3 linked regions of the Caenorhabditis elegans genome follow. The protein of the gene in region 1 interacts with the protein of each later gene in a pairwise test. Each region holds a gene or a part of one and is shown in the gene's direction. Other genes may lie near its edges. The genes, in order: rpl-3, osgn-1 and idpb-2.

Region 1 (4,275 bases):
TGGTATGAAGGTGTGCCGACTTATCCGACTCCTTCTAGAATGTGGGATGTCACTGATAAGTATGGTGTGACCAAGCTGTATACCTCACCAACAGCCGCAAGAGCTCTTATGGCTCTCGGAAATCAGTGGCTTGAAAGGTAATAATTATTCAAAAATAATTGTTCAGCATCTTTATTTTTAATTTTCAGCTCTTCTCGCAAAACTCTCAAGGTTATCGGAACAGTTGGAGAGCCCATCAATCCTGCTGCATGGATGTGGTTGTACAAGCAAGTTGGACTTTCCAATGTATCCATTGTGGATACTTACTGGCAAACTGAAACTGGAGGACACATGATCACATGCCTTCCAGGAGCAACTCCAATGAAGCCAGGAGCAGCTGCAATGCCATTCTTCGGAGCATCTCCAGTTCTTTTGGATGCTGAAGGTCGTGTTATTGAAGGTCCGGGAGAAGGATCACTATGCTTTGATCGTGCCTGGCCTGGAATGATGCGTGGAATCTATGGAGATGAGCAACGCTTTGTCAAGACCTATTTGGCTCCATTCAATGGATACTATTTCACTGGAGATGGTGCCAGACGTGATGAAGATGGATACTTGTGGATAACTGGACGTGTTGATGATTTGATGAATGTCAGTGGTCATCTTCTGTCTACTGCTGAAATTGAATCAGCTCTTGTGGCTCATGAGAAAGTTGCTGAAGCTGCCGTTGTTGCTGCTCCACATGACATCAAGGGATCCTTCCCATACGCATTCGTCACTTTGAATGTTGGAGAGAGAATCAATGAAAAGCTTGTGGCTGAGCTCAAGAAACTAGTTCGCGAGAAAATTGGTGCATTGGCTGTTCCAGATGTTATCCAAGAAGCTCCAGGACTTCCAAAAACTCGTTCCGGCAAGGTTACCAGAAGAATCTTGAGAAAGATTGCTGAAGGATCCGAAAGTGGAATCGGTGATACTACTACTCTAGTCGACGAATCTGTCATCAAACAACTAATCTCTGGACGTTCTGCACGTGCATAAACGAACTTGAACAATTGTAAATCAATTCAATTCTTACTATTAATGTTACTTTTTCTGTATTACTTCTCTTTTCCCCCTCTATCGTTGTAATTTCTGCAGAATCAATGCAAGATCTAAACTTTTAACCCCAACATGACCTTCTTTGTAATCAAGATGCATTCCCTGATTGACTCCTGTGTAGAATTAAATTCCAGTGTTGTAATTTCCCCCAGTAATTTATTGAACCCTGAATTCGAAATTAGAAAACAAGTAAATGATTCAGAACTGATTAATTGTTTTAACTCAATTTCAGATTTTCAGATAACAATTTTGGCTTATTCGGATAATTAAAACACGAAACATGAAATTACAAGAAGAAGATTAAATACTTACATGGAGAAATGCATTTCATATGCCCAGTGAATCTGATGTTTAGCTCAATTTTTATGAATTATGATAAAAACCACGAAAGTTCAATACAAAATAATATTTGATTTAACTTGCATTGCAAAATTACAGGAAAATGAATTATTTTAAGCATAAAGTGTGTTGTTTTGATAGGCCGTTTGAACAAAGCAAATCGATTTTCTTGATTATATAATGATGCTTCAAAATAAAACTTGATTTACATGAATATTTCCCGTTAAAAAACAATGTATTTAAAAACATTATTATTTGCAGAATCTCTCCAACTGCGAAAGAAATCGAATTCAAACAACCGCGCTTGTCGTACACTTGTACACTCCGCCGCCACAGCTACGGTAAAAGCGTGTTTTGCGACGCACAAGTGTGCGCCGAGTGTGTGGGTCTCCCAACGCCTTTCACTGGCCTAAACTTCATTTCAATTTGTTTTAGCCTAAAATTTTCATGTTTTTTTCGAATAAATTTTGTTTTTTTACGTGCAATTCTAAATTTAAAATGTTCAAATTAGTATCTGTCTAGAAAAGTAGTTATTTAAAAAATTTTTTAACCGAAAACGCAATTTTTATTCTTTGTTCGCTCATGCTTTTTCTATAATTTTTTCGTAAAATTAATATTTTTCAGGGTACAACAATGTCTCACCGAAAGTTTTCGGCCCCGAGACATGGACACATGGGATTCACCCCAAAGAAGCGCTCCCGCACTTACCGTGGAAGAATCAAGGCTTTCCCAAAGGATGACAAGAGCAAGCCAATCCATTTGACCGCTTTCCTCGGATACAAGGCCGGTATGACCCATATCGTCCGTGATGTCGATAAGCCAGGATCAAAGGTTAACAAGAAGGAGGTTGTCGAAGCCGTCACCATCGTCGAGACCCCACCAATGGTTATTGCTGGAGTTACCGGATACGTCGACACCCCACAAGGACCACGTGCTCTTACCACCATCTGGGCCGAGCACTTGTCCGAGGAAGCTCGTCGTCGCTTCTACAGCAACTGGTTAGTTTATTTTTCAACTATTTCGTTTTTTGTATTCAGTGTTATGGTGCGTTTTTGGTGTCATTTGGTGGTTTCGTGATTACAAGTCTGTATTTGCAGTCGCGTTTCTAAGTCGGTTGCCTTCCGCTGTACTTATGTACATGATGGTAAACGAACTGAGTGGCTAAAGCGTCCTGTACGCTGAAAGGCATTTTGTTCGTAATCGTAGAAACTACAGGGCTAAATCCAAGAAGAAGGCTTTCACCAAGTACGCCAAGAAGTGGCAAGATGAGGATGGAAAGAAGCTCATCGAGGCTGATTTCGCCAAGCTGAAGAAGTACTGCTCTTCTATCCGTGTGATCGCTCACACTCAGGTAATATTTATATTTAGTTTGTTTGTATTCTTAAGTTATATTTTGCAGATGAAGATCCTTCGCCGTCGCCAAAAGAAGGCTCACCTCGTCGAAATCCAAGTCAACGGAGGAACCATCGAGCAGAAGGTCGACTGGGCTCGCGAGCATCTCGAGAAACAAGTCCAGGTTGATACCGTCTTCGCTCAGGATGAGATGATTGACACCATCGGAGTTACCAGAGGTCACGGATTCAAGGGAGTCACCAGCAGATGGCACACCAAGAAGCTTCCTCGCAAGACGCACAAGGGTCTCCGCAAGGTCGCCTGTATTGGAGCTTGGCATCCATCTCGTGTCGCCTTCACTGTCGCTCGTGCTGGACAAAAGGGATTCCATCACCGTACCATCATCAACAACAAGATCTACCGTATTGGAAAGTCTGCTCTCACTGAGGAAGGAAAGAACAACGGATCCACCGAGTTCGATCTTACCCAGAAGACCATCACCCCAATGGTTCGTTTTATTTTTTTCACCGTTCTATGAAGAAAAAGTCTGCAATTCGTACTCTGTATGGCGACTATATTTTATCTGAGAACATCGGGCGTTGTAATCAATTTTCATGAATTTTTAATAATTGTTTTGTTTTAGGGAGGATTCCCAAGATACGGTATCGTCAACCAGGACTACATCATGCTTCGTGGAGCCGTTCTCGGACCAAAGAAGCGTCTTATCACCCTCCGCAAGTCGCTCATCACCCAAACCAAGAGAGTCGCCCACGAGAAGATCAACCTCAAGTGGATCGACACCAGTTCCAAGACCGGACACGGTCGCTTCCAAACCACAGCCGAGAAGCGTGCTTTCATGGGAAAACTCAAGAGAGATTTCCTTGCCGAGGCCGAAGCTAAGGCTTAAATTTGTTTATTCAAATAAATTGTTATTGTTATCAAATGTTTCTTCACTGTTCACATTTTGAATACACTTTGAGTATGCTTTTTTGTTGAATCTGAAGGACTATGCTGCTTGTATTGAAGAATAATAATCCGAAACATTCATTAGGTATAACATTAGAAATCTGGAAGGGTGTTAGACCCGGTAATTGTTAAGATAAAAAGTTCAATTTAAAGAGGGAGTTAAAGGGTTCGAATTTGATGGGTTCCTGAGTTGGGGGTTGATCGACTATTACACGTTGCAGGAAATAAAACAGAAAAAGTGAAACGAATGAAACAGATGGAGATCGGAATATATAAACAGAAAGATTATAAGAAAGTGAAGTTTCAGAGTTTTCTTTTTGGTTTCATAAAGACATCAATCACATAATTTATAGAGATTATTACAATTATTATTATTATTTGCAGAAAACGGCAGGGCATTGGGTAAATGAGGAAGAGAGAGAGACAGTTGAAATCATAGATTCTACGCTTTGAATTTCCAGTTTTTTGTGGAACACTTTTTTTGAGGTTTTGACTGATTTAAAATGAGGGTCAAATACATTAAAACTTTCGTGTGGGATGATTGAAAGACATTGGGAGTTT
Region 2 (4,751 bases), on another chromosome or scaffold:
CGTTAAAAACACAAAACTCAAGAAATTCGAAAAAAAAATCCCATTTTTCATAAAAATTTCTTACTGTTGTCATTTTTTCCAGAAAAAAACGATTTAAATTTCTTACTGTTGTCATTTTTTCCAGAAAAAAACGATTTTTCCGTATGAAAATCAAGCCCCGCCTCATTATTGGATCATCGGATCCTTATCCTCTTTCGGTAAAAAAGTAATAAATCATTGCAGTCGACACTGGTGGAATTCGCGGAAAAAATGATAAGAAATCTCATCAACCACACCGAATCCTTCTCAGTTCGTCTTCCTAATCCCTCTGGTGGTAAGCAGCTTTTTTTTTGGATTTTTGGAAGATTTTTCAGTAGAAAAAACTAAAAATTTCGCTGAAATCGTGAATTTTTAGCTGTGAATCTCCAGAATCAAGCTCACGGCGAGCTCTCAAAGATCCTGAAATAACACTGTAACGAAGCATTGAAGGGCCAATTTTCCAAATTCACTTTGGTCTCCGCGGATAAATTTTTTACAGAAAACTCATCAACTAAAAAGTTGTTGATCTTTTTGTAAAGAACAAGTTTGTAGTTGAAAGTTTTTATCAAAAAATTTTTGTTTCAGATAGAAGCGCGTAAAGTGCGGTTACTGTTGTTGTTATTTTTATGCAGTTATTGCTATTCTAATGGTTTTATCTGAAACAAATTTTTTTTTGCTAAAATCTTTCAACTACAAACTTGTTTTTTACAAAAAGATTAACAACTTGTCAGTTGATGACTTTTCTGTAAAAAATTTATCCACGGAGATATGAGCTACCAAACTGAATTAGGAAAATTGCTTGTTTAGATCGTTACAACGCTTCGTTACAGTGCTATTCTAAGATCTTTGAGAGCTCGCCGTGAGCTTGATTCTGGAGATTCGTAGCTAAAAATTCACACGTAACCGTTTTAAGACATGGGCTATCAAATGGCATAGGTCCCATATGCAAGTCCAATGGGCACCTTCTGACGGTTCCCTAGTTAGAATTTCCAGACAATTTTTAGCCATAAATTCTGCATTTTTTGCTCTATTTTCAGTGATTTTTTCAGATTTTTTCAATCAAAATTCGAAGCAATTTTATCTTAATTTTTTCCAGAATTTTCAGCCAAATCTCATATATTTCGGATAATTTTCAGTTGATATTCAGCCAAATGTAACCTTTTTTCTTCAAATTTTCAGCCGACTTTCATCCAAAATTCCACTATTTTTCTGAAATATTAAGCAAAATCTTAACCAAATTTTAAGCCAATACACAAATTTTGTACACAAATTTTTAGTCAAATTTTTCCGATTTGTGCCGATTTTCAGCCATATTTTAACGTTTTTTTCTCGAATTTTTAGCCAATTTTTCTCACATTTTTGGTAGATTTTCAGTGAGTTTTTAGCCAAAATTCAGCGTTTTTTTTCCACATTTTATTCGAAATTTGCAATATTTCCCACAAATTTTCTGCCGATTTTCGGTCAAAATTCAGCTATTTTTCTCGAATATTTAAACTAATTTATTGCCAAATTTTCCCCAATTTTCCAGGTTCCCTCAAAACCACCCCGGTGACGGCATTCCAATTGTGGTACAACTCATTTTCTCGAAGATTCCAGGCAAATTCATATTTCTGGAGATCTCTGAATAATGCCTAAAAGCCGCGGCAAGAAAAACAAATTATGAGGTAAGGAATTGAAAACTTTTGTATTTTTTGTGTAATTTTATGCGATTATTACTATATCCTTGTTCCAACCAATCAATAAAGTAATCTCAAATCATTTAAAAAATTTTCTGAATTTTTTTCGAATTTTCAAGAACAAGTTGACAACTGTACATCCAATTAATTTTTTTTTGAAAAATTTCATGTTTTCTAGTTTTCTTTAAAAAACTCTTTTTCAACTTGAAATTTAGCTGAAAATTCGATTTTATTTTTTGTTTGTCTAAAATTTCATTTTCTGGAAAAACGGAAAATTGCCAAAAACAAGTTGAAAAAAAAAGTAAAAATTGTGATTTTCAGCGATTTCTAAGCTAAAAATTCGAACTTTCGGAAAATTCTCAGATTTTCACCTTTTTCAAGAGAAATTTTCGAAATTTCAGTTTTTTGGTTAAATTTTGCAAGTGGCCTAAACAATCCTAGGCCATCCCTTATGAATTCGAAATATTCTGCAATTTGAAGCTAAATTTGAATTTTTCCGAAAAAAAAGAAACCGTGGCTTAGAAATTTCTAGGCCACCCGCCAGAAAACAATGAAAATTTCAAATTTTTGAGTAATTTTCGGGAAAATTGATTCAAAAACCAAGAATTTCAGTGAAAATCAGCAAAAAAAATTGTAGTTTTAGCTCAAAAATTCCAATTTTCGCTGAGACCATAGAAAATTGCATGTTTTGCAATATTTCAGCGAAAAACCTCCGAATTCGCAAAAAATTCGCAATTTTCTGCAATTTTCTGCAATTTTTGCTACAAAAACCCGAAATTTTAGCGCAAAAATTATCATTTTTCTTTATTTTCCCGCAATTTTAGGCCAAAACTCGCCAGAATCGTTCCGTTTTTCTCTGCGCTCTCCACGCGGGGTCTGATCTCTTGTCGCACGCTACTCATTCTTCTTTTTCTCCTTTTCTTCTGGTTTTTTCCTATTTTTTCCTGGTTTTTCCTCCTTAGAGATCTCTGAAATTGGGAGTTCAAGCGGCTCGCCGAGCATGAAAATTTGAAGAAAAAATCAGTTTACTAAGAAAGATTAAAATTATATTTAGTTTCCTATCTTTAACATGCTTGATTTTTGAGTCAATTTCTTCGAAAATTAGTCAAAAATTTGAAATTTGCATTGTTTTCTGATCGGTGGCCTAGAAATATCTAGGTCACGGTTTCTTTTTTTGCGAAAAATTCAAAATTTAGCCTAAAATGGCAGAACATTTTGAATTTATAAGGCCTAGGAATTTTTAGGACATTTTAAATTTTCATCCTAAATCCCAATTTTTACTCCAAAAATATTTCAAAACTTCGATTTTCCCGCCGCTGTTTTCTTGGTGCTGGCCTAAGAATTTCTCGGATTTCTAGGCCACCAGTATTTTTAGGGCAAAATTTAAAAAATTTAAGGTTTGAAGCAATATTTCGATATTCAAAAGAGAACATTTCAAAAAAATCCAAATAATCTGGAAATCGGTAGAAAATACGATTTTTCTGCTGAAAATTCCATTTTTCAGTGGGTTTTCAGCTCAAAATTACTTAAAAATCCGATCTTTCTGCTTAAAATTTAATTTTTAAGGTAGGTTTTCATCTTAAAAGTTACCTGAAAATTGAATTATTTTTGTTGAAAATACCATTTTCAGTGGACTTTTCACCTGAAAACTGCCTAAAGATCCGATTTTTATGTCAAAAAAGTCAGTTTTCCCCCGTTTTCCACATAAAAATCGCTCGAAATCTGATTTTTCTGCCAAAAATAGCACTTTTTTGCCATAAAATGTCTCAAAAACACTCTTGATTTTTGTTCGAGTGGACGAACACAGTGTAGAGAGAAAAAGTAAATATTTTCGCGAAAATTCCCTCTTTTTCGTCTGCAAATAGACAAAACACGCCGTTTTGAACCGTTTTTTGCGATTTTTCATCAAATATTTACTTCACGTGGTTTCGAGTGGATCAATCAACAAAACATGATTTTTGTGTTTTTTCCCACAAAAAATCAACAATTTTGACCTATTTTTTGGAAAAAACGGTCAGTGGCCTGGCTTTTTGAGGTGGTGGCTTGGAATTATTTTTCTAGGCCACCAAGTTGTAACTCCAATTTTTTGCTGATTTTCGTTTTATATTGACCAAAAATCTTGCACATGGCCTAGTTTTTGAACTGGATTAGGTTTAGGCTTAGATTTAGGATTAGGCTTAGGCTGAGGCTGAGGCTTAAGCTTGCTCGCTTAAGTCTCAGGTTTCAATTTTTTCTCGGCCACCGAGTTTTTTTTGTGAATTTTCAGTTTTTTTTTTAACTTTTTCTTTCTCAGAAATGGCGCCAAAAATCTTCGAAACAAGTAGGTTGTTGAGCTTCGAACTTTTTCGTCGAAAAAAAGTTTCGGAAATAGAGAAAAAACGAGAGATATGTGAGTATTTGTCATCATTTTGTCACTGTTTGTTTCAAGTACAAAAAGTTGAGTTATCGAGTCAGAGATCTGTTTCAAAATTTTAAGAAAAATAGCGGAAAAATCGGAGGAATTTGAAAAATTTCAGTGAAAAATCGAATTTCCCGCGGTCAGCAGGCCTAAGAAATTTTCAATTTCCGGTGAAAAAAAAAGAAAGAAAAAGTATTTTTCCCGCATTCCGCAGCCGGTTTTTAAGAGGATTGTAGTCTACTTTTCGATCCGATTATAGATTATATGAACTCTTGCTGGAAATGCAATTTTTCCGTCGGAAATTGAAGAATTTCACGTGTGTTTTTGAGCGGGAAATTGGATTTTTCGGCAACTCTGGCAATTTGGAGTAATGCGGCAGCGATTTTCACGGCGATCTCGGCATTTTTCTCAGCAACTTTGTACCTATCCAGTTTCCGGCAATTCTGGCGATTTTCTACAATTTGGCAATTCAATTTCGGCAATTCGGCCATTTCGGCCATTTTTTGGCCATTTCAGCAATTTTCCGTAGAACGTAGAACGCTTTCCGTAAGTTGGTAACTAACATTGTAAGGATTGTTTCCTAACTTTAAAATATGGCAATCTGAAAAATTGAGATCTTAAATTTTCCACAACTCCGGAAATTTTTTTTGTAGTTCGGC
Region 3 (3,236 bases), on another chromosome or scaffold:
CCTCAACTATGTCATTTGGCAGTCCCAAAATAGATTTTGGAAAGAAATCTTCAAACCTTGAACAGAGTATTCAAAGAATCAAAGTTCGCAAGAGTCTTCTCATGGCTCAGATTTGTTTATCGGACAAACCAGATTTCACTTCCAAAGTGGAGAACAACAATCAACAATCAGAAAAGGTAACTGATAGGTTTTGATATGAGCTATTCTATATATGAATATTAATCTAATTTTCCTGACAGTTCTAAGATATTGTATATCCCCTATTAGTATTGTATGTAATACTTTTTCCATCGATTACTCTGAGTTTAGCTCTTGTAAATATTTCAATTTAATAAGATATATTATATTTAAATATTAGACTCACAAACATTTATTGAAATTGAAAACTTTCAACAAAAGACTACAAACTTACAGTAATCCCAATAGTCAATTGTTTTACACATATTTTATCAGTGTATGTTCATGAAAAATATATTGAAGGTCTACACAAAAGCTCAACGGTCATCTGTCAGGTTTCCAACATACGATGGATTGCTCCCCGCTGGCGGAACAGTAAGCGGAAGCTTATCTCTCTTTCTCCTGTTCTATCATTTTTTGGTATATTCTTCTGTTAGCAATTACTTTGAGAACCTTTTTTTCAATTGTATCTATCATGTTCTTTTCCTGAACACCATCAGTTCCTTCATATTTCAGTACATTTGCGATGAATGCAACAGCGACGAGCGGACCCCATTTCAGCTTTGTGAGCACAAGGCAATTTATCACAGGTTTGCCTATTTTTGAAGAATTTAATTTGTTAGCTATAACTTTTGTGTTTATAAATGTATACTCTGGCGTTTCAGTCCCCAAGACCAGAGGGTTTGGAAATGTGTGTACTGTCACACACAATTTGGAAGGCGAGGTGGACTTCGGAGGCATGTTCAGATGGTTCATATGCAGATGATGCATAAATGTCCCGTAGAGAATTGCACTCATCCAGGATACAAGTGCACAAAGGTGGTCATTTCAATCTTTTTATTGAAGGCAGGACCACGCGCTCGAATTTAAAATTTAAAAAAATTAGATTTATGGAGTACTGTAGTCCACATTTCTTCATTGTTGTTTCAATGTTTTCCGTTCGTTTACATAGGAGCTACAGTACTCCGTCATCCATCGGACGTGTCGAGACGAGATTTTGTATCAGTGGTAAAAACCTTTCAAAAAACGTAGCAAGATTCAAAGGAACCTTTGAACTCTTTTAACTTGAAGATGCAGCTCTAGATTGCCACTAGATTACCAAACGTTATAAATGTTTGAGAATTATTGGTTTCATTAATATTGATTTTTCAAGCCAAAAACACCCTTCAAGTCTATTCAAGTCTATGCTCTTTCAGGCTCTGAATGCTCATGTCAGAACTCATACTCGACCATATGCCTGCCATCGGTGTGATGCTAGCTTTGCACGAAAAAACGATCTACAGAGTCATCTATCAACTCATCAAGCTACTCCAGTCATTCATTAATTTATTATATTATCTCAATTTTCCGTTTCTCTATCTATCTTATTACGATTACCTCTTCTTTTTTTCTGTGATTGTACCATAAACCTCAAAGTCCAACGCGATTTCTCGAGGGTATACGGAAGGGTTGAGTTTTGCTTCCGGAAAAGTGTCAAATGCACTACGCACCGCGCAACCGCAGGCATACTTACGTAAATATTTGAGTGATATAAAAGAAAGCATGAATGGTTCAATGATACACTCGAACTTAACATGAACAAGCTCGTCTGCTCCACCTTCGCCATTCTGGCAATAATCGCAATTTCTCAGGTATCAACGTTTCAGGGGACTTGTGTAGAATTCGAAGATCCTTGCAGGTTCAATCAGCAGTACTACCAGTGTCCTCAAAAGAAGTAGCATTAATAACATCATCTGCTTCAACCACTTCATCATCTGAAACATCAATTGATACATTAGGATCATCCAGAGTTAAAAGACAAGGAGGATGTGGTTGCTGTGGATGCGGATGCGGATGCTGCGGATGTGGTGGAGGAGGTGGAGGAGGATGCGGATGTTGCTGTTGTAGACCAAAGTAAGTTCAGAATTCGACACTTCTACTTTTTTAATTGATAATTCCAGAAATGTTACATTCACTATTTGAAAGATCTTTAATCCTTTAAATCTCAAAGTTTTAAACTTTGTCGTTACGTTTTCAGACTCGTCTGCATCTTCAGCATTTTCAGAATGATGTAGCAAATTTTAGTTCAAATTTTAGTGTAGCAACATCTTTCTTAAAAGAACAGTATCTTTTAGGCACATCTGCCGTTGTAATTTAAAATTTAAAATTTTCAGATGCTGCTGCTGTTGCCGCCGTTGCTGTACATGTTGCCGTACTTGCTGTTGTACAAGATGTTGTACTTGCTGCCGTCCATGTTGTTGTGGATGTGGATGTGGATGTGGATGTTGTGGATGCGGAGGTGGAGGACGTAAACGTCGTTCTCTTCAGAATCTCCGTATTGCTTTGGCTAACAAAATCGAAGGAATCGCCAAAGTCGTGAAGGGATCCGCTGTAGAAGCTTCAGTTATGAACGCATTGGCTCCTGTCAATGATGCTACGGTTGAAGAGAAGAAAGACGTGATCAACTGAGCGATGCGTTTGTTAAACTAATTTAATTAATTTAATTTGAATTCTGTGATTCTCACTTCAGAGAAATAAATAGTTGATTCTCTCTTGATTAACGCAAATACCAAAAAAATGTTATATACATAGAATTAGATAAAAAACGAGTAGAGACAAAGTTCAACAACGTTGTTGTCCATACAAAGCCTTGGAATTTACCGGCCCCCAAAGTATGCCTGGTTTGAGAAACGCTGAAAAATCCTCAGAATTAGATCAGAAAACTCATCAGAAATTGTTGCTTGTAGTAGTGAAATTTTCTTGATTGATCTGAGAAGCTTAAACTTGTTACTAACTTTTCAATAACTCGTCTCATTCTAGAGAACCTGAAAGTAACCGGGAGCTTGTGTGGTAAAATTATTCTACATTGGAAGAAATGGCATATTTCCCTTTTCCCCTATTTTACATTAGGTTTCTATTTTCAATTTCGGTTCAAGAATCATCAATTTTTAATTCCTAGTCCCATTTAGAAATAATGTCGCAACACTCATTCTTCATTCCCAGAGTCTCGCCCATTTCTTTCCCATTGAAACACTAGCTTCTGGTTACCATGACAACTCCATCCTTGTGCTCCAGTAAAA

What was found.
Region 2: the proteins of rpl-3 (region 1) and osgn-1 interact in a two-hybrid assay, tested with the Caenorhabditis elegans proteins (one large-scale study listed by BioGRID).
Region 3: the proteins of rpl-3 (region 1) and idpb-2 interact in a two-hybrid assay, tested with the Caenorhabditis elegans proteins (one large-scale study listed by BioGRID).

The regions. Positions count from the first base shown.
Region 1 is NC_003281.10:3,865,814-3,870,088, forward strand, and holds rpl-3 (Large ribosomal subunit protein uL3), read left to right. Parts: upstream 1-2,040; 5' UTR 2,041-2,049; coding exon 2,050-2,414; exon of another isoform or gene 2,415-2,416; intron 2,417-2,515; exon of another isoform or gene 2,516-2,631; coding exon 2,632-2,767; exon of another isoform or gene 2,768-2,769; intron 2,770-2,815; coding exon 2,816-3,256; exon of another isoform or gene 3,257-3,258; intron 3,259-3,391; coding exon 3,392-3,655; 3' UTR 3,656-3,774; downstream 3,775-4,275. Other genes in the region: acs-19 (Acetyl-coenzyme A synthetase), read left to right, coding at 1-137, 189-1,017. UniProt on the Caenorhabditis elegans protein: The L3 protein is a component of the large subunit of cytoplasmic ribosomes.
Region 2 is NC_003282.8:4,205,711-4,210,461, forward strand, and holds the start of osgn-1 (FAD/NAD(P)-binding domain-containing protein), read left to right. Parts: upstream 1-1,677; coding exon 1,678-1,682; intron 1,683-4,751.
Region 3 is NC_003280.10:5,068,124-5,071,359, reverse strand, and holds idpb-2 (Intrinsically Disordered Protein, class B), read left to right. Parts: upstream 1-1,734; 5' UTR 1,735-1,751; coding exon 1,752-1,808; exon of another isoform or gene 1,809-1,855; coding exon 1,856-2,070; intron 2,071-2,330; coding exon 2,331-2,625; 3' UTR 2,626-2,712; downstream 2,713-3,236. Other genes in the region: C27A2.7 (C2H2-type domain-containing protein), read left to right, coding at 1-176, 481-552, 694-767, 843-996, 1,374-1,502.